Stegostoma tigrinum: one gene and its partner. The protein of the gene in region 1 interacts with the protein of each later gene in a pairwise test. Links are inferred from orthologs where the notes say so. Each region holds a gene or a part of one and is shown on either strand. Other genes may lie near its edges.

Region 1 (15,474 bases):
TTGCTGGTTTTGGGTACGGGATCCTTTATGTTTGTCGGTAGATGTCATAGAGTGGCTGTCGGTTTGTTGATACCTCAGGAGTCTGACTAGTATTGTGGTCATCTCTGAATAGCCTTGATGTATGGTAGGGTGATTAGTAATTCGGGTCGTGTTGCGGTCTGTCCATCTTGGAGTTAACGGCAGATTGTGCTCTTCGGGTATCTGTTTCTTTTGAAGATTCCGTACAAAGTGTTCCTGTTCTGCTTAGTGTAGTTCCAGATTGCCACAACGTGTTGTGGCTCGTTTAAGTAGAGTCCTGATGCTGCTCTGTTTGTGGCCGTTGGGGTGGTTGCTAGTGTAATTGAGTATTTGGTCTGCACGTGTGGTCTTTCTATATACACTGGTCTGGAGTTCCCCGTTGTTAATGCATTCCACCATTATGTCCAGGAAAGGTAGTCAGTTTTTGTTCTCCTTCTTTTAATCTGAGAGGGATGTTGTTTATGTGTCAGTGGGTTTCTTCTAGATTTCTGCATTTAAATAATCACAAAAGGTGTCATCTACATATTGGACCCAAAAGTTTGGATTGTATAGTGGGAGGTGCTGTCCATTTTAACCTTTGTGTCACTGCTTCTGCAATTAGTCCTGAAATTTGGGACCCTATTGGTGTTCTGTTGATTTGTTTGTATATGCTTCAACAACTACCTTTCCTGGACGTAATGGTAGAAAGCAAGAACAACAGGCAACTCCAGACTAGCATACATAGAAAGATTACACATACAGACCAAATACTCAATTGCTCCAGCAACGATGCCAACACCCACAAACGGAGCTGCATCAGGATACTATTTAAACAAGCCACAACACATTGTGGCAACCCGGAACTACACAAAGCATAACAGGAACTTTGCACTGAATCTTCACAAGAAATAGATGCCCGAAGAGCACAATCCGCCATTACCTCCAAGACAGACAGACCGCAACAGGAAGACACAACATGACCCAACTCACTAATCATCAAGCACATTTCAGAGATGACACAACACGGACACTTCAACAGAGGCACACTGGCGATGTTACCCAACAGGGTGACTAAACTTTTGTACCCAAACCCACTGGCTCAGCAAGCATGTCCACAACCTTATCCACAACACAAGCTACAACTCATCTCAAAAACTTTAGGCCCATGTTCTAGTCCCACCTGCTCCAGGAGAGAGCCATAACATGTCTGGGTAGACTGAAAAGAACTATAATTGTTGTTTTTTGCACTGGTTGGGAAGGTGATCAAGAGATAGACAAGTACAAGGAACCATTTCAAACTATCAAAGATCAAGACTCCTTGAATCAAGGAAGTGCCCTCAGCCGGCACCTCTCCCTTTCTACCCCCAAATAATGAGTTTCAGTTGATCTCCTTTCTCCCTAGGCAATATCTACAGTCAAGATGTCTGGGTGGTTTGTCATTTTTAGATTTCATAGAGAATTTCAACAGCGGCCACTGACATTGTCCGTGGAACTGGCCAGACGTGTTCTGATAATTTAATACTTTGGAGGTTTGTAGAAAAGTGGCTACTGTTGCTGGTCAGGTGACTTCCCCCATCATTTTAAAACCAGGTAAAAACCGAACGGACTGCGGATGCTGTAAATCAAGAACAAAGAGAAAGTTGCTGGAAAAGCTCAGTAGGACTGGCAGCATCTGTGAAGGGAAAAAAAAAGTGTTAATATTTTGGGACTGGAAGGAAGCGTCACCGGACCTGAAACATTAATTGTTTTTTTCCTTCACAGGTGCTGTCAGACCTGCTGAGCTTTTCCAGCAAATATGTTTATGTTGATATATTTTAAAACCGATTCCTGGCTCAGTGAAAGTTGATTCCTTTCAAATAAATGCCACAGGTGTTGAATCAGTCAATGGAATCATAGAATAGCCCACATTATACAACAATGAGGCAATTCTGTTAAATTAAACTGCAGTAATAGAACTAGAGGACATCTCCAAGAGGAGGGAAACCCCCAAAAACAAAGCTGTATGCCATTGCTTTATAAGCAATTTAAGTTTATTTATTTTTGTACTCCACTCTTTTTGTAATAACAGCTCACATGCCAAACATTTTCTAAATTGCTTGCCATTCTCATCCCAGTCATAAAGTTTCAGGTTCACATCCCATGGCAGTTTAACATAAAGATCAAGGCTGACCCTCTTTTGCAATACAAACAGGGCTCTAGGTTGCCAAATCCACCATCCTTCCAAGGCCATAAATGTTCTCTGTAATGGACTGTAAAGATCCAGCCACATTCTGAAGAAGAGCTGGGGTGCTATCCCCTGGCAAAGGCTTATCCTGCAAACAACATCACAAAGGAAACTAACGCCAGGTTGTCATCACACTGCTGTTCGTGGGACCTTGTTCTGCTCAAACTGGCTGCCACATTTCCTAAATTACTGCACTGACTAACCTTCAGTGGTTGTAAAGCATTTTGAGATGAACAGTGATCATGAAAGTCCCTACAGTGCATAAATGCAAATCACAGCATAAGTCTTGGCAATTTTGAAATCAGGGAGTAAGTGACTTATTTACTTGATGTTCTGAGAAGAATGGACATGCCTAATGTCACCAGGAATCCAGTACAGTATCTCTGAGTTCTGACCCTCAGTAACCCTGGTGAGCAGCTATCCAGGCCTAACTCAGTTCCCAGGAAAAAAAAACACAGCACTTCCGAGCGGAACGGGGCGGGCAGCAAGGACTCGACCCCGACCCTCGGGACGGAAAGTGACCGAGACCTTGGTTTGACATCCCCACCTGAACCCTGTCACGCTTACCCAGCCGCTGTTCCTTCAGATCCAGCCTCCGCCGAATCCAGTCCTCTGTTATCATCAGCGCCATCCTTTCAAATCGGGTCTCAAGGCGCAGGCGCGCTGCCACCTGTCATTCAACGCTGAGGGGCGGGGCAAGATCCTGGAGACTCCGCCCACAATGTCTTGTTCACCGCTTGAGGAAGGAAGACAGGGAGAGGGGAAATGTAGACAGTGTTACTGGAGGTGGACAGGGAGAGGGGAGAAAACGCAGACAGTGTTTCTGGAGGTGGACAGAGAAATGGAACAGACGATGTTGTTACAGCAGGTAGACAGAGTGGGGAAACACAGACAGTGTTACTATAGGTTGAAGCTGGCGAGGGAGAGCGTTAACATGATTTTAGTCTAGAAAGAAGAGGTACACAATATTACTGTATGTGGAGACAGAGAGAGCTCAGAGAGTCATAGCAGATTCAGTTACCAAAAGGGGTCATATTGTTACTGTAGATGACAAGAGGGTGAGAGAGGGAGAGAACACAGACATTAATATTTCAGGTAGAAAGAGAGTACAGGAATACAGAAAATATTACCCCAGCCAGAGAAAGAACACAATATTACTGTAGCTGAGAGAGCCGACAAACTGTATTGCTACTGGCAAAGGGAAATATTATAGTCAAGACTACAAAATGTAAAATATTTTTGAAGCTCAGAGTGGAAATAAGTATTAATTTTCATTAATTAATCAATTAATTTATGTGCTACTGATAGAATGAGAGGAGATTCATAGGCAATATCACCAGCAGTTTAATTGAGCTGAATGGCCCGTGCTGCATTTATTATGCCTTTCTAAATAAATAGCAGTAGCGCAGAAGAAGAAAAATAGAGAATGTGAATAAATAGCAATAATGGAGGAGAGAATAAATAAAGAACAAAGAGTAAATTCCATCCTTTTGTGTGTCACATTAAAATTAACTACATTATATAACCTCTACATTCAAAGGAACGTAAATCAAGTTTATGCAACAATTCTTCCTTAATGGTTTAAGCCCTAGAATCAACTATGACAATGTCCTTATATAGAAACTATAATGGAACAGGTATTTAACAGGGTTATAATTACACATCAGGCAAAACATGACACATGGGGAGGGCCAAAGACATAGATGCAAAGGAGATATTAGGAGAGGAGACAAAAGTTTTGTCAAACAGGTAAGTTTAAACAAGCAGAGAAAATTACAGTTGGTGGAATTAATTCCAGAGCTTAGGTGGATGAAGATATGGTTGCAAATGGTCAGACAAAAGGAGTAGGAGATGAACAAGAATTTACAAATGGAGGAGTGTTGTAATCTAAGGGGCCTGTCAGAGATAGAAGGGAGAGGGCACTGAAGGATTCAAATATAAGGGTGAGAATTTCAAAACGGGTGTTTCCATGCTGGGAATCAATGTAGATCAGCAAGCACAGGGTTGTTGGATAAACATTGTGTGTTAAGATACGGGTAGCAAAGTTTTCAATAAGTTTAAGCTTATGAAGGGTGGAAGGTCAGCCAGAAGAACACTGAATAGTGGAGTGTGGGAGTAACAAAAGTATGACTGGAGTTCCAGTAGCAAGTAGTCGACAGCAGGGGTGAAGAAAGATATAATGATGGAGGTGAAAGCAGACAGTCTTTACAATGATGAGCTCATGAATCAAAAACTCAGACCAATAGAAAACAGGAAGCTGAGGGCATAAACAACCTGTGCTCAACTGGATACAGTTGCTGGGGTGTAGAGGGAGTCAATGGCAACGCAACATGGCACATGGGGAGACCCAAGGACATGGGTTTTCCCCAGTGCCTCATTGATAAACAATTCTGGTGAACCTGATCTGTGCCTTCTCCAAAGCCAACACTGCTAGATTCACTGCTAGAAGTTCACTGTTTATATGTGATACTTTCGTAAGTGGAATCCTTCAGTGGAAATTAGCAGAAATTTAAATTTAGAAAATGAAATTCTGACTTTTTGTCAAATTATGGTGAACTGGAAGTATTAAATCACCAGCCACCATAGAAAGGTGACAGCACAGTTAAAGGTCATTCAGCTCATCATGTTTGTTTCTGATTGGTTAGTTACTAACATTGACATTCTCAAACACTGTATAGCCAGTTGCGTGGTGCCTCACCTTATTTTTTGTAGCAAAAGTTTGCCTTTAAAAAGTTGTTGCAGCAACTGTGGTAATGTTATTGTTCCATCACCTGTTAATATCACCACACTCGCTATTTATTTCAAATGAATAGTTTCTGGCATTTAAACTTACACGAGTGTTGATAAATTCATAACCAAACTCAAAATGTCCCAAATAAAAGCCAAAAAAACACTGCAGATACTATAAATCAGAAACAAAAAAAATGTTGCTGGAAAAGCTCAGCAAGTCTGGCAGCATCTGTGAAGAGAAATCAGACTATTCATTTTGGATCCAGTGACACTTCTTCAGAACTGATGATAGCTAGGAAATGTCAGTTTATATGCGGAAGATGGGGTGCAGGGGTGTGGTGTGGGTATGGAGTAAACAATATGTTGGGCTACAACCCAAAGAGAGAAGAACAGGTCAAACAGACAAAGGAGTGGATAACGAGCTGGCTAGGAGGTTGAATAGCTATGAAGGGACACTGTTAATAGCTAAACAATAGGTAGCGTGCAATGGCAAACAAATGATGAAGGGTCTAGGCCCGAAACGTCAGTTTTTGTGCTCCTGAGATGCTGCTTGGCCTGCTGTGTTCATCCAGCCTCACATTTCATTATCTTGGATTCTCCAGCATCTGCAGTTCCCATTATCTATGTGACAACAAGGCCTGACATGTGAGGTGGGGGTCTAGGACAGTGGAGAGTTCAGGCCTTTAAATTATTGAACTCCATATTGAGTCCAGAGGGCTGGAGGGTTCCCAAGCAGGAAATGAGGTGTTGTTCTTGTAGCTTGCACTGAGCTTCACTGGAACACTGCAGCAAGCCTGAGACAGAGATGGTGGCCAGGGGACAGGGTGGTGCGCTAAAGTGGCAGCCAACTGGATGCTCAGGGTCTATTTTTTGTGGGACAGAAGACGATGTTCTGAAAAGCAAAGCAGTCAAATGCTTCATTTCCCCAATGTAGAGGGGGAACCACATTGCGAGTAGTGAATACCGTAGACTAGCTTGTGAGAAGTGAAAAATATCCCGCGGGGTGGGGGGGGGGGGCGGTGTTCGAGGAAATGAGACGACTAAAAGTAAATGCAGAATAATTTTAAAATGAAAGGGACTGGTGTGTGAGTATATCATGTACAGAAACTGCAGGTGCCAGAATCCAGCAGTTCACTCCACTGGGCAAATGTAACGTATGAAATGCTTATGACTTTTCATCAGCGACACTAAAGTACTTACCCTGCTCTCAACATCGATCGCCAGCCTCAAGAAAGCTGCACTTTGTACCGAACCTGAGGCTCGGTTTCGTGGCATCAGATGGTTCTTGTTAACAGTTGCATCAGGGCGCTGAAAGATCCTGCAGGAAGCGGGAATCAAGATGACACCAGCTGAAAAGCTTGCAGGATCTGGGTGTGAACAACCCCCAGTGAACAGGCGTCAAAGAGCTGCCCAGCGGGGGCTCAACTGAACTACCCAACACCTTAAACACTGAGACTATCTTATTAACTTGCTCGGGGGCTCTTAATAATGATGGAGAGATTATAAATGTATAGAACGTGTTTGATCATCTGTTATCAGCCATTGGAGTGTATTTGAATGCACTGTTTTTACACGCAGCCCATTCATTGTGTTCAGCAAGCTCACGATAAAAATTAAAATATATTAAAAACTATTAAAGAAAGTTATAAAATAAAATGTGAATTGTTTGCTTTTCATAGTCACCAACCATGGTTTATACAAGCTGCGATAATTTAACGGTATTTCCGGAACCCCACATTTCTTTGTTTCATAATTACACCGTTGTTAGTGTGTGAGGTTAAATCCCTGGATTGTGTTCAGTGAAAGGGTTTACCCACAGATATTGTTCAAACTTGACACCTGATTAATGCTTCGCCGGCACTGCATCCTCAACGCAACGGATCCAGGAATTTTAATCAGGTATAGCCCATCACCCGAGTTTTAGCTTATACTCAATCCCCAAAATTTACAGTAACTGAAATTAAAGGGAAATGACAGAGGTATTCTTCCTGCCAAAAATGGAAAATCTCAATTCACCAAATCACGCTCTTGCACCATCAGGCACGACTGAGGAGAGCGCCTAAGGCCATTCGGTCCCTCGAGACTCGTCTATCATCAGTCATGCAGCGCGGAGGCAGACCTTGGGTTATGCCTAATATAATCCCAAACGAAAGCAGTCCCAATTGTCTGCTCCTGGCACATATCCCTCCAAACCTTTCCTATTCATGACCTTATCTAAGGGTCTTTTAAAGGCTGTAACTCCCACGTCCGCCACTTTCTGAGGAAGTTCACTCCACACGAACCACCCTCTATGTAAAAAAAATGCCGATGGTGTCTTTTTAAAATCTCTCTCCTCACGCCTTGAAAATATAGCTCCTAGAATTGAAATCTCCCATTCTAGTGAAAAGACATCTACCATTAATCCCTACCTATATCTCTCATGATTTTATACACTTCTATGAAGGTCACATCTCAACCTCCCACACTCCAGCAAAAACAGACTCAGCCTATCCAGCTTTTCTTTTTAACTCCAGCCTTCCATACCCGGCATCATCTTGGTAAATTTCTTCTGAACTCTCTCGAACTTGAAAATACCCTTCCTATAACTACAGCACACTGTACTTCAGGACAGGCCTCATCAATGTCCTGTGCAGCCTCCACATGACTTCCAAATTCCTACACCCAATGGACTGAGCAATGAAGACAAGTGTGCTAAATGCCTTTCTAGATACTGGTCTGCCTTCAAAGAACTATGTACATGAACCCCTTTGTCTTTCCGTTCCACAACATTACCCAAGGCCCTACCATTAATTGTATTAGTGCTGCCCCTATTTGTTGTACCAAAGTACAATACCTCACATTTATCCACATTGAACTGCATCTGTCATTTTTCAGCGCATTGACATATTTGATCAAGATCCCTCCGTAATCTTAGAAAAACTTCTTTACTCTTTGCTCTGCTGCAAATTTTGGTGTCATCCACAAACTTACTAATCATGCCTTCCAAATTCTCATCTGCATTGTTTATAGAAACGTCAAACAAAAGATCATGGCTACTCTGCTTGTAACCTCAAGTCCATAAGACATAGGAGTGGAAGTAAGGCCATTCGGCCCATCGAGTCACTCCGCTATTTAAATCATGGCTGATGGGCAATTATACGCCACTTCCCTGCACTCTCCCCGTAGCCCTTGATTCCTTGTGAGATCAAGAATTTATCGATCTCTGCCTTGAAGGTATCTAACATCCCAGCCTCCACTGCGCTTGGTGGCAATGAATTCCACAAGCCCACCACTCTCTGGCTGAAGAAATGTCTCCTCATTTCCGTTCTAAATTTACCCCCTCTAATTCTAAGGCTGTGCCCACGGGTCCTAGTCTCCCCACCTAACAGAAACAACTTCCTAACATCCACCCCTTCTAAGCCATACATTATCTTGTAAGTTTCTATTAGATCTCCCCTCAAGCTTCTAAACTCGAATGAATACAATCTCAAGTCCACTTTCCCCTCTCCTTCTTTGAGTCACTTGTCAATCAAGGTCTAATGTATCACAGGCCTTAAAAATGTTAAATGAATTAATCTGAATAGTTCCAGAGAAGTAGTGGAAAGGATAGCAAAGATGATTCTCGATAGGAGCGAGAGAGATAGGGTAGTTGTCATGGGGGACTTCAACTTTCCAAATATTGACTGGGAACATGATAGTTGGAATACTATAGATGAGTCAGTTTTTGTCCAGTGCATGCAGGAGGGATTCCTGACACAGTATGTAGACAGGCCAACAAGGGGCGAAGCCACATTAGATTTGGTACTGGGTAATGAGCCTGGCCAGGTGTAAGATTTGGAAGTGGGTGAGCACTTTGGTGATAGCGATCACAATTCTGTTATGTTTACTTTAGTGATGGAAAGGGATAGGTGTATACCACTGGGCAAGAGTTATAGCTGGGGGAAAGGCAATTACGATGAGATTAGGCAAGATTTAGGGAGCATAGGATGGGGAAGGAAACTGCAGGGGATGGGCACATTAGAAGTGTGGAGCTTATTCAAGGAAAAGCTCCTGTGTATCCTAGATAAGTATGTACCTGTCAGGCAGAGAGGAAGCTGTAGAGCACAGGCGCCGTGGTTTACGAAGGAGGTGGAATCTCTGGTCAAGAGGAAGAAGAAAGCTTATGATAGGATGAGATGTGAAGGCTCAGTTAGGGTGCTTGAGGGCTACGAGGTACTCAGGAAAGACCTAAAGAGGGAGCTCAGAAGAGCCAGGAGGAGACATGAGAAGTTGTTGGCAGATAGGATCAGGGTAAACCTTAAGGCTTTCTATAGGTATTTCAGGAATAAAAGAATGACGAGAGTAAGATTAGGGCCAATCAAGGATAGTGGTGGTAAGTTGTGTGTGGAGTCAGAAGAGATAGGGGAAGCACTAAATGAATATTTTTCAACAGTATTCACTCTAGAAAACGACAATGTTGTTGAGGAGAATACTGAGATACAGGCTACTAGACTAGGTGGGATTGAGGTTCACAAGGAAGAGGTATTAGAAATCTTACAGAGGATGAAGATAGATAAGTCACCTGGGCTGGATGGGATTTATCCTAGGATCCTCTGGGAAGCCAGGGAGGAGATTGCCGAGCCTTTGACATTGATCTTTAACTCGTCATTGTCTACAGGAATAGTGCCAGATGACTGGAGCATAGCAAATGTGGTTCCCCTGTTCAAGAAGGGGAGTAGAGACAACCCTGGTAATTATAGACCAATGAGCCTTACCTCAGTTGTCGGTAAAGTGTTGGAAAAGGTTATAAAGGATAGGATTAATAATCATCTAGAAAAGAATAAACGGATTAGGGATAGTCAGCACGGTTTGTGAAGGGAAGGTCGTGCCTCACAAACCTTATTGAGTTCTTTGAGAAGGTGACCAAAAAGGTAGATGAGAGTAAACCGGTTGATATGGTGTATATGGATTTCAGCAAGGCGTTCGATAAGGTTCCCCACAGTAGGCTATTGTACAAAATGCGGAGGAATGGAATTGTGGGAGAAATAGCAGTTTGGATTGGAAATTGCCTTGCTGAAAGAAGACAGAGGGTGGTAGTTGATGGGGAAATGTTCAACCTGGAGACCAGTTACTTGTGGTGTACCGCAAGGGTCGGTGTTGGGTCCACTGCTGTTTGTCATTTTTATAAATGACATGGATGAGGGCGTAGAAGGATGGGTTAGTAAATTTGCAGATGACACTAAGGTTGGTGAGGTTGTGGATAGTGACGAAGGATGCTGTAGGTTGCAGAGAGACAGAGATAAGCTGCAGAGCTGTGCTGAGAGGTGGCAAATGGAGTTTAATGCGGACAAGTGTGAGGTGATGTACTTTGGTAGGAGTAACCGGATCCAAAGTACTGGGCTAATGGGAAGATTATTGGTAGTGTAGAAGAGCAGAGATATCTCGGCGTCCAAGTACACAGATCCTTGAAAGTTGCCACCCAGGTTGACAGGGCTGTTAAGAAGGCATACAGTGTTTTAGCTTCTATTAATAGAGGGATCGAGTTCCGGAATCAAGAGGTTATGGTGAAGCTGTACAAAACTCTGGTGCGGCCGCACTTGGAGTATTGTGTACAGTTCTGGTCACTGCATTATAAGAAGGGTGTGGAAGCTTTGGAAAGGGTGCAGAGGAGATTTACTAGGATGTTGCCTGGTATGGAGGGAAGGTCTTATGAGGAAAGGTTGAGGGACTTGAGGCTGTTTTCATTCAAGAGAAGAAGGTTGAGAGGTGACTTAATTGAAACATATAAAATAATCAGATGGTTAGATAGGGTGGATAGGGAGAGCCTTTTTCCTAGGATGGTGACGTTGAGCACGAGGAGGCATAGCTTTAAATTGAGGGGTGAAAGATATAGGACAGATGTCAGAGGTGATTTCTTTATTCAGAGAGTAGTAAGGGAATGGAACACTTTGCCTGCAGCGGTAGTAGATTCGCCAACTTTAGGTACATTTAAGTCGTCATTGGATAAGCATATGGACATACATGGAATAGTGTAGGTTAGGTGGGCTTCAGATCGGTATGACAGAACATCGAGGGCCGAAGGGTCTGTACTGTGCTGTAATGTTCTATGTTCTATGTTTTCCAGGGAGAAGAAATCCACAGACTGAAGATCCTCAGAATTCACTCAACATTTAGCAGACATAGGTTTGTGCAGGCACAGGCCGGGGGCTGGGTGGGGGGGGTCACGGTGGCTCAGTGGTTAGCACTGCAGCCTCACAGCACCGGGACCCAGGTTCAATTCCAGCCTCAGGCAACTGCCTGTGCAAAGTTTACACGTTCTCCCGTGTCTGCATGGGTTTTCTCCAGGTGCTTCAGTTTCCGCTCACAGTCCAAAGATGTGCAGGCTAGGTGGATTGGCCATGCTAAATTGCCTGTAGTGTTCAGGGGTGTGTGTGTTATAGGGGGATGGGTCTGGGTGGGATGTTCCAAGGGGCAGTATGGACTTGTTGGGCCAAAGGGCCTGTTTCCACACTGTGGGGTATCTAATCTGAAGTGAAGGGGAAAGATTTAAAAAAGACCTGAGGAGTGACTTTTTCATGCAGAGGGTGATGCAAGTATGGAAGACCAAGTGGTGGAGGTGGTTACAATGACTACATTTAAGAGGCATCTGGATAGGTACATGAATAGGGCGGATTAGAGGGTTATCAGCCAAATGTTTTCAAATGGGACTAAGTCAGTTTGGAACTATCTGGTGGACATGGACAGGCTCGACCAAAGGGTCTTTTTCTGTGCTGAATGACTCTGTGACTCTGTAACTGAGATACTCCTAAATTTTTCACTGTGTCCTCTCGTTCTGGGCTATCCACACACAGACAAAACATTCTCAATTTTCACACACTCAGATCGCTTCAGGATTTAATATGTTTTAAAACAAACACCTCACTCTTTGAAACTCCAATGAGCATGAGTCCTACCTGTTTAATCTTGACTCATAACATTATGAAGGAATCAGACAAATGAATGTGCTCTAAACTGCTTTCAATGCAATTATATGCTTTATGTAAGGACACAAAAACACTAGAGGGATGTTTAGATGCAATCTCACAAAGGTGTTGTACAACTCTCACAATACTTCCCTACTTCACGACAAAAACATTCCATTTGCCTTTCTAATCACTTGCTAGATCTGCAAGTCAATGTCTTGTGATATATATAATATATACCAGGACAACTGGATCAGATCCTGCTGTACCATAAGAGTTCTGCAGTTTCTCTCCATTCAAATAAATCACTGGTTTTCTTTTCCATAGAAAAGGAAGTGAAGATTTGACTGCATTAATTGATGCATAATCAATTGTCACAATGTATATGATTCAATATTATTTTCTTGGTAGATTACTCTCTCTCACAGTGGTGGTGTGCACATTAACATGTTGAACCGTCTGAAGTTAATAACCAAGACCGTGGCATTAGGCCTCTTAATCCTGCCCTGGCTCAGCAGTAGCTCTTTCACTACTGAATCAGAGTTCATAAATTCAGCCTCCACCCTGGAGGTTTGATCATGTTTATGTTGATACTCTAATGCTGTATTGAGACAGTGCTGCGTAACTGGAGGTTTCAGCTAAGACTTGAAAACAAGTTCCTGCCTATTTCCTGAGGTTGACAGGAAAGAGACCAAGCTCCAAGAGAATAAAGAACTTCTGCTGGTGTCCTGGCCAATTTTTATCCCTGACAAAACCTCCATGACTTTTTGTAGGAATTTTCTGTGTACATACTTTTGTAATGTAGGAAGTGAGGCAATGACAACACTTCAACTGCCCTTAAATGACAAAGTTGCTTTGAAATATCTTGAGGTCATGAGAAGAAATACGTAATTACAAGTGTCTCTTTTCTTTGGTTGTTCATTAATACTTTCTATTTCTTTCTTGTTTCTGTCTGGATTCCAGGCAAAAATTTATTATATATACTACTTAGATAAATTAGTTGAAATTTGATCTTAAATTTTAAATGTGAGTCATAGAAATACCATGACATTCTCACAAAGAAAACAATCATGAGCAATTTGATGCAACTCTTACTAACAGGTGTCCTCATTATTCAAATACATTTTCTTATCCATACATGCTGTCATCATATTAATTACAGGATAGAAACTCCTATGAATAGGATCAACATGCATCACTAACTTTCAGGTAAATGTCATTTGTAGCTGCAATACTTAATTGCACATTCTGTACATGACAGTGCAAAATCTTTATTCCCTGCCCATTGGGTCATCCTGTCTCAGCTTATTTCCTCCTTGCTGCTTCAAGTAATTATTATCTGGGATGTCCATTAACCAGCTCAAAATAAGTTCAAAAGCACACAAGAAGCACAGGCTGAAACAATATTTTAAACTGATTTCGAATCATATGTCATCACTTGAAACTTGAACCCTATTTGTCTCCCACAGTTGCTGAAAATTTCAAGCATTTTCTGTTTTATTCAGATTTCTAACATCATAATATGTTGCTTTTTTAAGTTATGTTAGCTTATGTTCAGGAACAAATAAAAAATTCTGGAAATGCTCAGCATCTGTGAAGGGAAAATGAGTTAACATTTCGGGTCGAGTGACCCTTCCTCAGAACTGGACGATGTTCATCTCAATCTAATGTAGATTAGATAGTAACAGTTATAGTAACAGAGAACAAGAACAATTTGGATTTTACGTAATGACTTTAAAACATCTCAAGGTGTTTCGGAGGAGCATTATCAAACAAAATTTGACACTAAACCACATAAGAAAGTATTAGGACTGTTGAACAAAAGCTTACACAGGCGTGGAAAGTGAGATAGAGAGACAGAGGTTTAGTGAATAAATTCCAGTGTTGAGAATTTTAGCGGCCAGAAACTCTCCATCAACGGTGGAGTAATCAATCTGAGATGCACAAATAGACTTTTTTTGAGGAGTGCATAAATTCAAAACATTGTAGGAGGAGATATAAGGGAGAAAGGTGAGACTATCGAGGAATCTGAAAACAAGAATGAGACTTTGTTTAAAGTTGAGATGCTACAGGATCATGAAAAACTGTAGATCTGTTAACACAAAGGTGACCAGAATTGTAGTCTGGAACTCCGAAGTGCCAAACACCGGACAACTAAAATCAAATCAAATCGTAACTAAAATCAAAGTAATGAGGGAACAATCAAAACTAATAACTTGAGAGAGATTGTTCAACGAAACTTCATATCTGATTAAACTCATAAGCATATAGATTTTTTAAAAAAAGATATACTTTAAACAGTAAGAAAGAAATCCAATCACTAATTAGAAGTAAATTTATGACTGAGAACAAGTTTTTTTCTTCATTCATAAAGGAGGCAAAAACCCTAAGGTTACCTGAAGATAAATGTGTAACTTGTGGATGTCTTTCAATTAAGGTGGTCGCTCATACTTAAACCAATTAGGAATACACGGTTAACACTGAATTATCTCTCAAATTAGGATCAAAAACTGAAGTTTCATGGAAAAACTCAGCAGGTTTGGCAGCATCTGTGAAGAAAAATCAGAGTTAATATTTTGGGCCTGGTGACCCTTCAACTCTGATTTTTCTTCATAGATACTGCCGTACCTCTGAGCTTTTCCAGCAACTTCTGTTTATGTTCCTGATTTATAGCTTATGGAGCATTCTTTCGGGTTTTGTATCCCAGATTACTTTATCATAGCTAGATTTAATTTAAAAGTTTAATTTTTAAGAGACAATGTACAACTGCTCATACATATGTAAATTGCTAACTGGGCCCAGGCATGCCATACAATCAAATGTGACAGATGCAAACCACGCTTTACAGTCTAGTTGTTTGTAAGCTAATTATGTCTCCAGTCTCAGAAAAGTCTAGCTCTAGCCCAAGGGGTGACATTAGTTTAACCTGCTGTGGGAAACCATCTACTTAATTTTGCAGAACTTCAGCTGATTACAAGATATACACATTAAACGAAAGAACATATGGAATTCTTTTAACTCTTAATTGCACAAGCATACAGCAAATGTTGGAGATCTTAGAAAACAAAAAGGTAGATAAATCTCCAGATCAAGGACATTGTGGGAAGTTGACGAAATTGCGGAACCTGTAGCAGAAAAATTTGTATCATTTATACTCATAGTGAGGACTGGAAGATGATTAATAGAACATAGAACAGTCCAGCACTTTACTGGCCCTTCAGTTCACAATGTTGTGCCAACCTATTATTTTATTAAGTTCAAACTACCCTGCATACCCTAAATTTAACTATCATCCACATATATGGGCACACATTATTCCAATAGTTTAAGAGATAACAAGGTGTAGAGCTGATGAACACAGCAGACCAAACAGTATCAGAGGAGCAGAAAAGTTGACGTTTTGGGTCTAGATCCTTCTTCAGAAATGGTGGAGGGGAAGGGGATTCTGAGACAAATAGAGAGAGGCAGTGAGGTGGATGGACCTGCATATCTGCTAATATGGTGTACTGCATCTGCTGCTCCTGATGTGGCCTCCTCTGCGTCGGGAAAACCAAGTGGAAGCTTGGAGACACCTATGCTCGGTTCACGACAAACGACTGCACC
Region 2 (15,439 bases), on another chromosome or scaffold:
GGAGGACATGTTGAGATATGGACTTGAGGGATTTACAAGGGGACATAGATATAAAAGCAAATACTGTGGATGCTCGAAATCTGAAACAAACCCAGATTTTGGAAAAACTCAGCACGTCTGGCAGCATCTGTGGAGAGAGAGCCAAGTTAATGTTTCAAGCCCGGGTACAACTCTTTCTGGTTGACTAAGTCGGCAAAACTTGCCAGATTGAGTTTAATGTATGAAAGTGTGAGATTATTGGAAATTTTGACCTTTGTGCCAGATGGGATTGGATCTTAAAAGGAGGGTACAACTATAAGGGGTATTTGTGAGTCCATACCTGGGCTACTGTGTATAGTTTTGGTTCCTGTGTTTAGAAAAAGATAAACTGGTGTTGGAAGCAGTTCAAACTTGATAAATTAAGCTGATTCCTGAGATAAAGAGGTTTATTTATCAGGAATGGCTGAACAGGTGAGGCTTTTATTTGCTAGCATTTAGTAGAATGATCTTATTAAAACATACAAGTTACCGAAGAAGAGGGCCTACATTTAAAAATGAGATACAATACAATTTATTTTCCCGATGATAGTGAATGTCTAGAATTTCTATACCCTAGAGAGTTGTGATGGCTGGATCACTAAAAATATTTAAAGAGAAGGTAGATTAATATGTGAAATATCGTGGATCTGAGGGGTGTCACAAAAGGAGTATTTCAAGCCTTGTACAAATCAATGATCTTGAGGTAAGTTTGAGGGGCAAAATGGCCTGCTACTGTCCCTATTTCCTATCTTGTACCAATCAATTGTAGAGTATTTTCACACTAATTTCCTGCCTAACTATATTAATATAATCTAATTCTGATTCTTTGAAGTATCTCTTGTGATAAAATTTAAGTATCTAACAATTTGGCGTAACGATTAAAAAGATGCAGGAAAGTGAGAATTCAGAGCTCTCAATGTGAAATAATTAGATACTTCTACTAAAAGCAAACTAATAATATATTATTACACCAATAACATTAAAAAATACTTTGCTTTCGCTCTGTCTTGGGCTAAGGGCATCGCTGGCATGGCTAACATTCGCTGCCATTCCTATTGCCCTTGAACTGTGTGACTTTCTAGACCATTTTCAGAGGGTAATTACAATTCATCCATTTTGTTGTGGGTCTGACATCACGTGTAGTCTAAATCAGGAATGGATGGCAGGCTTTCCTCATGAGTGACACCAAAGGGTATTAGTGAACCGAATCTGTCTTAACAATAATTGACGATAGCTGTCATGAGACCCTTGCTAACAGTAGGTTCACGTTCCAAATTTATTAATTTACTTTAACTTCCACCAGCTGCTGTGGTGGGATTTGAACACATACCCCTTTTGCATTATCATGGTTCTGTGGATTCCTCATCCAGTGACATCATAGCACGTTACCACCTTGCACAGCATAGGATTCACATCAAAAGATCTTAAAATAATATATATGACACTTTTTCTGGAAAATCTGTTTTGCAGTCAGATGAGGAATTACTCTGCCAAAAACGTTAACATTAATCATTGAAGTTGCTACTGATTGACAGAATAATGTTTGCTCTGCTTTCAGAGCTGTTTTCAACTCTTCCTCGTTTTAAAAATGCATTTTCAACAAACATCGTAAAGCATCAGGAAACTCAGGATTCATTTTAACTTCTAATTTAACATTTGCCTAGATTATATACTTATTCCTTATGTGATTTTTGAACTAATAATCTACAACATGAAGGTATAAGGGAGTGGCCAAAGAAGATAATTTACACTCTGATTGCTTACCTTCACTGCATTACCCCCTTTGGATCCTTTTTCTTTCTTATCAGTACTATCACCACTGGCTGCAGCACCTTAAATGTACAAAAATGGAATATGTTTCTTTATTTTTTTAAGTAAATGCACTGGTGATTCATAATCCACGATATTCAACTCATGGCTGCACGAAATAGAGCTTCAGCTATATTGTTTCTGGAATATTTGGCTACAGTATTAAAAACTAAAGATTTGATTCTCCAAAAAGAATAAACAATAACAAAGCCAAAATGCAGCAGTTGCTGAAAATCTGAAATAAAAACAAAGTACATGTCTGGCAGCATTTTTGGGGAAGGAAACAGAGTTAATGCTTCGAGTCCAGTGTGATTATTCCCTCGAACAGATTCAAAAAGAAGAGTTCTGAAAAGCTACAAAGAAGAGTCAGATTGTGCTTGAAGCACTAACTCTATTTCTCTCTCCACAGATGCTGCCAAATCTACTAGGTTTCTAAACCACCTTCTATTTTTACTAACATAGTAACTTGGTCACTGATCTCACAAATAAGGAAGTTATGCTTCAGTTATACAGGACACTTGTGAGGCTACATCTGGAGTTCAGTGTGTTGGCCTCCTTTTTTAAGGAAAGATGCAAATGAAATGGAAGCAATTCAGAGAAGATTCATTAGATTAATACTTCAAATGGATGGATTCTCTTATGAAGACGGTTTGGTCTGGCAAGTCTTGTATCTCCTGGAGTTTACAAGAGTAAGAGACAACTTGATTGAAACATCTGAGGTCCCAAGGGGTCTTGATAGAGGGGATACACAGATGTTTCCTCGTGTGGGAGAATCTAGAACTAGGGACAACTATTTCAAAAAAAAAGCTGTTGCCCATTTAAGATGAAGATGACATGTTTTTTTCTCTTAGAGGGTAATTAGTCTTTGGAACTCTCTTCCTCAAAACACAAGGGAAGCAGAGCCCTTGAATATTTTTCAGTGAAGATGGATAGATCTTAGAGTAAAGGGAAGACCTTTAAGATAAGGAGAAACTTCTTCAGCCGGAGAGCGGTGAATCTGTGGAAGTCACTGCCTCAGAAGGCTGTGGAGGCCAAGTCATTGAGTATATTCAAGACAGAGTTAGATAGGTTTTTGATTGTCAAGGGTTAAGGAGAGAAAGCAGGAGAAAGGGGTTGAAAAGCTTATCAGCCGTGATTGAATGGTGGAACAGACACGATGGGCTGAATGGCCTACTTTCTGCTCCAACGTCTTATGGTCTAGATAATTAATATGTGGGTAAAAGGTCATTGGGAGTAGATGGGATTGTGGTTTGAGATTGCAATCAGATCAGGCTTGATTTTATGCTGGTGGAGCACATTTGTGCAGCTATATGGCCTACTTCTTCTCATAATTTCTATGTTTGTATGTTGTAGGAAATATATGTACATCCAGTTCAAAGTGGTAAAGAGTACTGATGCCACAACTGGCATTACAGTATGATTTCAAGTGTGTGGGTTTACTCCAGCATTTAAAAGACAGAAGATCCAAAGTTTTTGAGAAAACTTGCAGCTCAGGCAATGGATGAGGTTGTAGATTTGCTTGCTGTGCCGGTGTGTTTGATTACAGGCATTTAAGCAAGACAGACTGTCAAAAAATGAAGCCAGAGGGATCCAACACTCCCCAAGGTACACAAGGTAGGGGTCCCCCCAGACCCACTGTCTCACTACCAGGCACATCAATATGTAGACTAGCCAAAGAACTACAACAGAAACTGAAACACTTAGTTGACAACACTACTGCTCCAATCACTCCTCCCAGAATTCCTCAACATCATCAAGGACACCAGAACAGAAGAGGACAAGATAATGGTATCCTTTGATGCAGCAGCACTATTTACATCCATAAACATCGACCTAGCCAAAAGGACAATTGCCACGCTACTGGACGAATCAGGAAGGCAGGCACCTCACGTCATCAACAAGGACAGCACCCTGAAACCCCTGGATCTGTGCCACGCAACCCACTTCACCTTCAACAGCCATACGTTTAAACAAATGAGTGCAACACCAATGGGATTCCCAATATCAGGACTGATAGCAGAAGCGGTAATGCAAAGGTCAGAACAGACAGCGCTCCCTACCATTCAAACAAAACTCTGAGTCCACAATGTAGATGACACGTTTATGATTATCAAACGCACAAGACTGGAAGAAACCCACTGACACATAAACAATATCCTCACCAGAATAAAATTTACAAAAGAAGAGAACAACTGACTACCCTTCCTAGGCATAATGGTGGAACGCAAGAACGACAGGGAACTCCAGACTAGCATACACAGAAAGACAATACATATGGGGCAGATACTTAATTCACCAGCAACCATCCCAACACACATAAACAGCGCTTCATCAGGACATGATTCAAATGGACTACAACACTCTGCAGCAATCCAGAATTGTGCAAAGCAGAACAGGAGCACATATAAGGAGTTTTTAAAAGGAATGGATACCCAAAGAAGCACAATCCACCATTACCTCCACAACAGACCACAACAAGGAATAACACAGCCAGACACACCAGTCACCCTACCGTACATAAAGGACATATCAGAGATGATTCACAGACCATAGGTATCAGATTAGCCCCCAAACCAACAACCACCCTGCAACAGCTACTGACAAATGTGTAGGACCCCATATCCACAACTGACAAAGCTAACGTAATATACAAAATATCATGCAAGGACTATCAAAATATCATGAGAAACATTATATAGGCCAAACTGGAAGAAAAGTGACAATAAGGATGCACGAACACCATCTAGCCACCAAGAGACACACCCAGTTCTCACTGATCTCAATACACGCGGACAAAGAAGGTCACAAACTTGACTGGGACAACACACTGATAATAGCACAAACCAAACAGACATTCCAGGGAATTCCTGGAGGCCTGGCATTCTCAGTGGATCTCCGTTAACAAATACATTGAACTGGACCTGATATACAACCCACTGAAGAACAAAACTGGCAGTAATACCAACCACCTCAGCAAACCAAGACATATCATTAACAAGCGGGACAGAACACCAATGTTTTACCAGAGGCACACTGACGAAGTTACCTCGCAGGGTGATGGAATATCTGCAATCAAACACACTGGCTTGGCAAGCAAGTCTGCAATCTCACACAAGATCCAATTATTGACTCGGGGATGTTGCTGGACTGGAGAAGATATCATTGATATAGAGGTACAATTCTGTAGATGATGACAGTCTAATGTTACATATTTTGAATGGTGACTCTTAATGTGTGACACCAAACAGGGAATGTGACCTGGTAACTTGTCTATGAGGAGTCACAAATCCCTAACTTTGACCCGTATCTCGCATGGCATTTTCTGGCAGCAGGCATTCAGAAGTGGATGAAATAAAACTAAAAATTGCAGACACTGGAGAAGTTCTGGTGATGAGTCACTGCACTCAAAGTTTTAACTCTGCTTTCGTCCAACAGATGCTGCCAGACCTGCTGAGTTTCACCAGCAATCTCTGTTTTTGACTCAGAGGGAGAAACCTTGCCCAGCATTTCCCAGTTTCTAATTGAAGGGCACCTGAGCAAATCTTATCACCCACCCTACTGCAAAATCAGGTCAAGGAAGAAAGGTTGGAAATTTTCTGATATATGTAACTAAACAGCATATCATAAGACCATAAAACCATAAAACATAGGAGCAGAAATTAGGCCATTTGGCCCATCGAGTCTGCTCCACCATTCAATCATGCGTGATAAGTTCCTCACCCCCATTCTCCTGCTTTCTCACCATAACCCTTGATCTCCTTGATAATCAGGAACCTCTTTATCTCAGTCTTAAAGGTACTCATTGACCTGTCCTCCACAACCTTCTGTGGCAGTGAATTCCATAGATTCACCACTCTCTGACGAAAGAAGTTTCTCCTTGTCTCCATTCTAAAAGGTCTTCCCTTTACTGTAAGGCAGTGCCCTGGGGTCCTGGACTTTCCTACCAATGGAAGCATCTTCCCAACATCCACTTTGTCCAGACCATTCAGTATTCTGAAAGTTTCAATTAGATCCCGCCTCATCCTTCCAAACTCCAACGAGTATAGTCCCAGAGTCCTCAAACGTTCCTCATATGTTAAGCTTTCCATTCCTGGGACCATTCTCATAAACCTCCTCTGAACCTGCTCCAGGACCAGTGTATCCTTCCTGAAATATGGGGCCCAAAACGGCACACAATACTCCAAACATGGCCTGACCAGAGCCTTATAAAGCCTCAGTAGTACATCCCTGCTTTTATATTCAAATCCTCTCAAAATAAATGCCAACATTACATTTGCCTTCCTGACTCAGCCTGCAAGTTTACCTTGAGAGAATCCTGGACTAGATCAGCCAAGTCTCTTTGCACTTCAGTCTTCTGAATTTACTCCCCATTTAAAAAAAGTCCATGTTCCGATTTTTCTTACCAAAGTGCACGACCTCACACTTTTCCACATTATTCTCCATCTGCCACTTCTTTGCCCATTCTCCATAACATGTCCTTTACCTTAAGCTCCCTTATCTAGTATGCATCATTGCACAACACTAAATTCAGTGTTGTCTGTTCCCTTGTGGACTCCGCCATGAGCTGCTCCAAATGTTGCATCCCTGTGAAATAATCTGCCAGATGATCATTTTACAATGAGAAGTACAAATGTATCGCACTAATGGCTGCACAATTTAGTCCCTAAAATAAGATTAAAAGCCAAAAGAAGTGCAGATGCTGTAAATCAGGAGCAAAAACTCAAGTCACTGGAAACACTCAGCAGATCTGGCAGCATCTGTGAAGAAAAATCAGTTAATGTTTCAGGTCCAGTGACCCTTCCTCAAAACCGCAGCCTAAAATAAGATTAATCCTTTAACTAACTATTTCCAGTGCGTGCACGTCTACATAACAGTAAATGTTATTTAGAAAGCAGAACACAATCTCCTCTGAGTTAGTATACTGGCTGCTGTAAATCAGCAATCTCTGGCAAACACAGCATTACGAATAAGGAGGAAAATTAGACCAAAACATTAAAGTCTGGCCTTGTATCAGAATTACATAAACGTCCCTTTGGGCTTAAGCTTTAGTCCAACATCAATTGTAAACACTGTAGAACCAATCTCTCCTTTTGTTACCCAATATTGTGCTCCTGGGATGCTGCTGGGCCTGCTGTGTTCATCCAGCCTGACATTTTATTATCTTGGATTCACCTCCCAGGCTTCATTTACGTGAGCAACACTCGCTGTCAGGAACGAGTGAAATAATCACGACTGATACTAACATCCATGTCTACCCTTTTGAATTTATATTTGCACAGCCACAACAACGTCTAGACTTCAATCCGAGCAATGATACGGTTAGACAATGTTTAAGCTCGACACACCTTTCCCACCCTTTGCCTTTCCCTTAGGAGGCATCTTGAGAGCGAAGGAGACAGACGCCCGGCGCCTGATAAAAGGTCCGCAGAATTGGAGCTGTCAAACAGCCCTTTCGGCCTATTAATGAATACCCAAACGAGACGGCAGCGTCCAGGTTTTCACGTCGTCAGATGTTGCGGTGAGAGAATTTTCTCGAAAAGTTCTATATCAGAAGAAGAAAAGACAACTCATGTCGTCATCAAGCAGCGCCGACGAAGTAAGGGGCCCACAGCGACAGAACAAATCTCGGCTGAGTGTGAACACTGAACAGTAAATAGTACAAGGTGAGTAATGGAGATAGTCTCCTCCTCTCCAGCTTACAGGGTGAGGGAAAGTGCTTTCGTTTTGGATAGAAATGTTAGTTTTTTTTTGCTAAATGTTGGGGGGGGGGGGTATATGCTGGTTGGATAATAATGCTGAGTCAGGCGCCTCTGCAGCAGTTTATGTCTGAACTTTTAACCAGGAAATGAAAATGAGCACAAAATGGTAATAAGGGTAGTAGGAACTGCAGGCGCTGGAGAATCCGAGATAACAAGGTGTAGAGCTGGATGAACACAGCAGGCCGAGCAGCATCAGAGGAGCAGGAAGGCTGACGTTTCGGGCCTAGACCCTTCTTCAGAACGGAGCGTCAGCCTTCCTGCTCCTCTGATGCCGCTTGGCCTGCTGTGTTCATCCAGCTCTACACCTTGTTATCTCAGAAAATAGTAATATACGTTTACATGGGACGTAAGCTCAGGGAGACATTGCTGTGGTTTTCACAATACCGAGTGAGCAATTGAGAGGCTCAGGCTACTGCTCTGGGAACACGAGTTTGAATCACAGCTGATGGAATCGAGAGTTGGTCTTAGGAATGGTGATTATGAAACAATAATCGATTGTTGTAAAAACTCGTCTGGTTCTCTACTGCCATCAGGGAAGGAAATCCACCATCTTCACCCAGCCCAACCTACAGATTCTAGATCCACGGCAATTGGCTGACCGTTCTCTGAAGTGATCTAGCCAGTCACTCCATTCAATTAGGGATGGATAACAAACCCTGAGCTTGCCAGTAACAGGTATCCTATGGAAGAATTTTTTTTAATTAAAGATGCCTTTTGTGTCAGGCCCCATAGTACTTTGGTAAGCAATTAATTACTTTTCAAAATCAATAACTTATTATTTATGTTACTACACCAAATCATTTGCACATAGAAATGTTGTATAAGTAGTAAATTAATGAGTGAACGATCACATAATCTGTTTAGGGTTTTGCTAGCTGTTGCGAGTGTGTTGGGCTGCACCTGATCAAGCAAATAGGGGCTTTCTCTGAATTGATAAGACACTTGTAATCTTGATCAGATGGGCCAGTGAGCTGAGGAATGGCAAATGAGTTCAATTTAGATAAATGTGAAGTGTTGCATTTTGGTAAGGTAAACCAGATAAGATTTGGACAGTTAATAGTACGATTCTTGGGAGTTTTGCTGAACAGAGCGACCCAGAGGTGCAGGTGCATAATTCCTTCAAGTTCGATTTGCAGGTAAACAGAGTGGTGAAGAAGGATTTTGGCGCACTTGCCTTCATTGTTCACAATGTTGAGTATGGACATTGGGACATCATGTTGCAGTTGTACAGGACTTTATTGAGGACACTGCATACGATTGTGATCGTCCTGCAATAGAAAGGATGCTTTGATTTTGATTTTATTGTCTATGTACTGAAGTACAAAAGTACAGGAGTACAGTGAAAAGTGGATAATGTTACCACGTAAGGTGCCATCTTAGGTATGAGTACCGAGCTACAAAATCTTAAGACTAAATTAGAAAGAGAGAACAAAGTTAAAAGTAAAACATTGCAATAATTATAGAATAGTGTAAAATGTATGAAATAAAGTTAAAGTTACACATTGCAGACCTCCTTAGTTTTAAGTAGAAAATAAAGAAATGAAGCTGAAAGTTTAAGCGTTATAGTCTCTCAAGTGCTTAGCCACAGTTTGAGGAACCACCTTGAGACCCGAAGCCCATGCCAGGCTGAGAGTCTGGCAGACCATGCTACCAGGCTGGGAGAGCGCCCTGCTGGCTCTGTGCTGAGTCCAAGGCTGGGAGTCCGTGGCCAGCAGGAGAGAAAAGAAGGGAAAAGAAAACACACAAGAGAAGAAACAAAAGCAAATGGATGAAGTGGAGGAGGACCCTCTGATGCATCTTATTCTGCTCTTATCTTGGAAGATAGATGTTTTTGAACTTGAGAGTGTGCAGAAAAGATCTACAAAGATATTGCCAGGACTGGAGAGTTTCATTTATAGGGAGAGCCAGAATAGGCTGGTGGCTTTTTCCCTGGAACGTCAAATGCTGAGGAATGACCTTTTATACAGGTTTATAAAATCATGAGGACCATGGATAGGATGATTATCGAAGGTCTTTTTCCTTGGGTGTTTGAGTCCAAAAGTGGAGGGGATAGGTTTAATGTGACAGGGAAATATTTAAAAAGGACATGAGGGGCAACGTTTTCATGCTGAGGGTGGTGAATGTCTGGAATGAGCTGCCAGATGAAGTGGTGGAGGAGGGTACTATTACAACATTTAAAAGGTATCTGGATGAACAGGAAAGTTAGAAGGATGTGGGCCAAATGCTGGCACATGGGACTAGGTCAGATTGGGATGTATGGTTGGCGCACATGATTTGGACCAAAGGATCTGTTTCCATGCTGTATGATACTATAAGTAAGGAGATGACGAAGATGAGATTAGACCCAATCGAGAAAAGTGGGAGGAATGAGATGATTGAAAGTCAAGAAAAAGGTTATAAATAAGTGATCATTTTTCAATGCAGCAACATAATCTTAGAACATTGTTTTTCCTGGATCTAGTTCTAAAGCTTGCACATGATTGCGCTGCATTAATTTAGGCTATGTTTGTGCTAAGGGTGGTCATTGGAATAAACACAATTGGAAGTATGATTGCAATGGTTCCCATAACTGAATAATTTGCTGAAACCTAAAATGAAGATCTAACAAAAAGCTGATGCAAAAATTGCTATGTTTCTTATGTCTGCTGCAACAACGAGAAGTGAACCAACCACCCTGTTCTCTCCTTGTAACCTTTGTCTTCAAATATGTAAGTTTCTTACAAATGCATTGGCTCTTTAAACCACTGCCTGTTTAAAAACATCCCATGATGATTTTGGTCAAGTGTAGAAATTAACGAGTATCTCTTGAAAAGAGGCAATCCAGTGACTGCACACAGAGAAAACAAGGGATCAAATGTGAGAATTATCTCTCCCATTCAGAACAGGGAGAAGTATATTTGATGATAATGATATCCATAGGATGGGTGTTGCTAGCCACTTCAAGTGTTCAGTGCTCATGAGGTGTGGGTGGAAGTTCAGCAGGAGTGCATTGTGGCTTTACGATAGGAGACCAGGTATTTTCGGTCTAATTTTCCAGTTTTCTTTTCTTTGTACAGCATTTATACTAAGGCCTTGAGCTATCGTGGGCCGCAACCAATGTCAATCAGCAGAGGAGCTCCACTTATTGATATTTTGAAGGCCTCAGAACCTTAGGATATTCTTTTCAGCCCTTATTCAATCTCCAGTTTTAAGTATTTGCAGTTGTTCCAACACGTGCCCAAGGGCACATTCCAGCCTTCAAATTGATCCTTATCCATCCAGAAGACTGTTGTTCTGTCCCTAACATAGTGAAATATCTAGGTATTTTGAGAAGAGGACGAAGAGGTGCAAGTTGACAAAGGTAAACCTAAAAGACTAACATGAAAATGAGATAAGGTATTGAAAGACAAATAAATTTCGACAGCAAGGCCTACATTGTGGTGGGGGTGACACATCTGAAAGGCCTGAATAAGGGAGGAGGGGGGGGAAATGAGAATCAGAATCTGTAAGCAGATTAGTTTTGATTGTGGAAACAAATGTTTATTTAACTTTTGTTTTATTGCCTTATTAAGTGTTTCATGTCCTTCTATCTTGGCAAAAATCTAATAACATGAGGGTCAGAATCTATCATTCAGTGTGGAGCAGGCTAGGTGAGGGTAGAACCACAATTTGAGACTTCACTGTTAAAATGAACATTCCACGCTGTAAAATGAACTTGGGAAAATTGACTTCTGTTTTGAAGCTTCTATATCTGCTTTTGTCAACATTTCTAGACTATGTTTTTGAAAGTACTGTTTAATTCAAAACCATGATGGTTAGCTTTCCTAGACACATTATTACAGTATGCATGTTGTAAAATTAGCAATGACTGTTGTAAAATTTATGTCTGCAGCAAAAATAGGATAGATTTGAGTGTTTGGTAAATGGTGAGAAGATAATGAGCAGAAGTCCAAGAAAAGTATAACTGTGTCTCTGTACATGGACTGTTCAATGTAGGGAACAGGATCAAAAAATAATTTAAAAGGGTAATGAAATGTCAGTCCTTGAATTCTAGTCCTCCGAATAAAAAAGAGGAAGGATGTTTTATGAAGTTGTATTAAATTCTGGTTGGATGCAGTTCTATAAACCACGCTTCAGGGTGTATTGGCTTTGGAAGGTGTGTTGTGCAGATTATCTATTCTTATTCAGAGAGCTGGTGCTGACATAATAGGCTCAATGGCTTTATTCTGCACTGTCATAATCTGTGATTCTGCAGATAATACTAGGGCTCCAAGCCTTGGTTTATGAGGAGAGTCGTTACAGATTAGGTTAGTATCCACTGGAATATAGAAAAAATTAATTGAACTTTTTAGGATTTAGAAAACAATTGATGAACTAAAAGTGAAACTTTAATAGGTAGCAACCCACAAATGCATAAAAGGGAAGCATGACCTTTAAAATCAGAGACAAGCTCTTCAGGAGAGAAGTTAGGAAACACTACTTCTTCGCACACATTGTAGAATTCACTCCTGCAAGAAGCATAAGTGTTAATTGAATTAATTGTGTATAAATTACTCGTTGCCAGTTTGGGATATTAAAGGATGTGGAGCCAAGGCAGTTGCTTGGAATTACCATGATCCCGTAAGATGATAGAACAGCCTTCAGGACGAAATGGTATACTCCTTTTCCTGCATCTATATGCTCCAATTTGTTGTACATTCAGTAATTGTGGTACCTCGCACAGATGTAGTGCAAGTTGGTCTTTGTATGATTTGATGATGCATGGGGATGAAAGATTATAAGGGACATACAGGAATGTGGAGTTGAGGTTAAAGTCAGATCAGCTGATATTTTATTGAATGTTGGAGCAGGTTTGAATGGCCAAGTGGTCTACCCTTGTTCGTTGCCCTTATATATGTTTGCATGGTTACCATCTTGAGGTAATGTTTTGATCTTTTATCAGTAATGTCAGTTTAATCATTGCTATGGTAATGAAGACTTAAACTCCAGTGTAGATTGCTTTTTTTTTTAGCGATTACGCAGGGAATTTGAATAACCTGTATTGTGTCTTTTACAACATTATACTTTTTGAATGCGATATTAGCCAACACAGCAAATATTTGAGATAATGGGAACTGCAGATGCTGGAGATTCCAAGATAATAAAATGTGAGGCTGGATGAACACAGCAGGCCAAGCAGCATCTCAGGAGCACAAAAGCTGACGTTTCGGGCCTAGACCCTTCATCAGCAAATATTTCATCTGTTCGACTTCAAGGACTATCATTTGCTTCTGTTATGAAGTAATGGAATTTATGGTTATGAAGTTTGAATTTTGAATTTAGAGAATATATTTTGAATAAATTTGATTTCATAGGCCCTCTTCTTTTTTTCTCTTTCTCCCCCGACCCCATTCTAGATTCGCAACAGTGCGAACAGATGTGACATTTTTCATCCAATTTGGCATGCTGTTCTCGTCCATGTGACCAACACTGATGTTTGTACAGCATGACAGTCCTGAAGCAGTTGCCAGAAGAATATCTATCTACAACAGCATTCAAAAGTTCAGTAACCAGTGCTGTCTGACTGCACTAGATTACCTTGGTGCTGAAGTCACTTGCTGAACATTTTTAAAATTTGGCTATGCAATGCCAGTGAACCTTTGCAATAGTATTTTATGTTGTAATCAAAAACTTGAAGTGAAAAGAGTTTCAGTGCAGAGTTTCCATTGAGGATGCATTTGCTTGTCTATGTGCTTGTGGGAATTATTTTCAAGAGTCATGGGTACTATTCAGAAGTTACACACTACAAAGACTGGATGGGGAAGCTGAAAACAATTCGTAACGGAATTCATAAAATTGACATGTATTTAAATGCAGCACTGGATTTATTAGGTGGAGAGGATGGGATCTGCAAGTACAAATGCAGTGATGGTGAGTAAAATGCATAGTAATTACAGAACTTTGAGGTGAATAGGATTTTGTAATTCCATGTAAAATAGAGAGTTAAACCATTTTATAAGTTCTAATGGCATCACTACTCAGATTTCTATTCTGCTGAGTAAGCTTTCTATGAAATGAGGCAATTATTTTCAGGAAATCCATTAATCTGCAGTTTACTAACTCAGTCATTCTGATGTGCCATCAAATGTTTCTTACCTGTGTTATACAAGGGTTAGTGATGTTTTGTGGTAAAGAAAGAAAAATGCCATTTGTCACCAAGTTACATGAACAGTTTTCTTTATTGAGGCATGGCATTAGATCATCTGAAACAGAGTTCAATTTGAAGTTTTATTACAGAGTGTCCTTGTAAATTAGATTGTTCTGATAAGAATGAGTAGTTGTCAAATGAGACATTCAGCCTGTCAAGGTTCATTCTTGCAATTAATTTGAAATAATTACAAAGTCCAGGACTGTGTATTTTGTGATGGGGCTGGTCCTGAGGCTCAGTGTAAGAGCTCGGTAGTCAGTCCAGACCCATGACAGCTGATACATCCAAAGGACAATTACGTAGGCAGCTACTTGGGTAACATACCTTCCTGAGGTTCCTGAATAGAGGAGAATGACAATTGTGGGATAAGATCATAACACCATAAGATACAGGAATAAAATTAGACCACTCAACCCACCAAGTCTACCCAGCCATTTGATCATAGCTGATAGTTTCTTAGTCCCATCCTTCTGTCTACCCCTAACCTTGATCACCTTCCATAATCGAGAACCTATCTATTTCTGTCTTAAAGACACTCCAAGGCTTGCCCTCCACAGCCCATGAGCAAGTTTAAATATTGTTTCAATGTTCAGGGTGATGGCTGAGAAGTGTAATCTGTGCCAGCAAAAACAGGAGTTGCTGGAAAAGCTCAGCAGGTCTGGCGGCATCTTTGAAGAGAAGTCAGAGTTAATGTTGCAGGTCTGGTGACCCTCCCTCTGGGATGAAAGTAGAAAGCAATAAAATAATATTGGAAACACTGATAGTGATTCCAGAAAATGATCTCAACAAAGAATTGCCAACAATGTAAAAGGGAAATCTCTTAGTGGTATTCCCTGTAAACATAAATGTGGAAGTCGAGCCTATAAAGGCTTCAATAGATTACATAGCAAAATAGCCTACAGTACAGTTATGAGAAGTCCTCCTGAAAATAATGACAGTTTCATTGCTAATAATCAGGAAAATGATTCTATGATCTTGCAACAGATGCAGCATGAAGAAACTTAGTTGGAGGGAATATGCACTTTATTCTGAGATACGAGATAAAGGTCAACTGGCTTTGGTACGTGGTTGGAATTGTACTGAAGAGTCCTTGCAGATGAGATCCTTTTTGAATACTACTGTGCAATTTGAGAAGCGTGTTACTAAAAACAATTCAAAATTGGGAGTCAGGCTTGTGTGACTTCTAAATCTGATATTTTAACTAGTAACCAAAGTGGGTCAGGATTGATGACAAATTTATTCCAATTTTGAGATGTTTATCCCATCCGAGTTACTAGGTCATTACAGAAAGATGATATTCCATCTAAAGAGACAGAGAAATTGCAAAACTTGATCAACTAGTTGAATTGGTTGTGCATTCCGACAAGATCAGATGCTACATCTGATATGTTGAAGGGAAGTACTTCAGTGAATCTCTAAATATTGCAAAGAGCTGTGTATGCTGAAATCAAACAAAAGACAATACTGAAAAAAATGCAGCTGGTCTGGCAGTATCTGTGGAGAGAGAAACAGTTTAAGTTTTGAGTCTAGTAACTATCTTTCCACAGTTGCTGCCAGGCCTGCTGAGTTCCTCCCACTGTTGCTGTTTTTGTTTCACATTTCCAGCTTCAGCAGATCTTTGTTTGTTTTAATCCAACTTGTTAATTATACTCAATCCTAATCAAGTGATTAGATAGTGTTAATTTCA

The links.
Region 2: the proteins of cep72 (region 1) and pin4 interact in binary tests that used the Homo sapiens proteins (3 or more experiments, as listed by UniProt). The two-hybrid records come from large-scale screens. The link is inferred for Stegostoma tigrinum from reciprocal best matches to the Homo sapiens genes CEP72 and PIN4.

Annotation. Positions count from the first base shown.
Region 1 is NC_081355.1:19,597,370-19,612,843, reverse strand, and holds the start of cep72 (centrosomal protein of 72 kDa), read right to left. Parts: upstream 6,255-15,474; 5' UTR 6,152-6,254; intron 2,958-6,151; 5' UTR 2,853-2,957; coding exon 2,789-2,852; intron 1-2,788. UniProt on the Homo sapiens protein: Involved in the recruitment of key centrosomal proteins to the centrosome.
Region 2 is NC_081368.1:50,283,398-50,298,836, reverse strand, and holds the start of pin4 (peptidyl-prolyl cis-trans isomerase NIMA-interacting 4), read right to left. Parts: upstream 7,409-15,439; 5' UTR 7,207-7,408; coding exon 7,173-7,206; intron 1,851-7,172; coding exon 1,783-1,850; intron 1-1,782. Other genes in the region: pla2g12a (group XIIA secretory phospholipase A2), read left to right, coding at 13,277-13,475.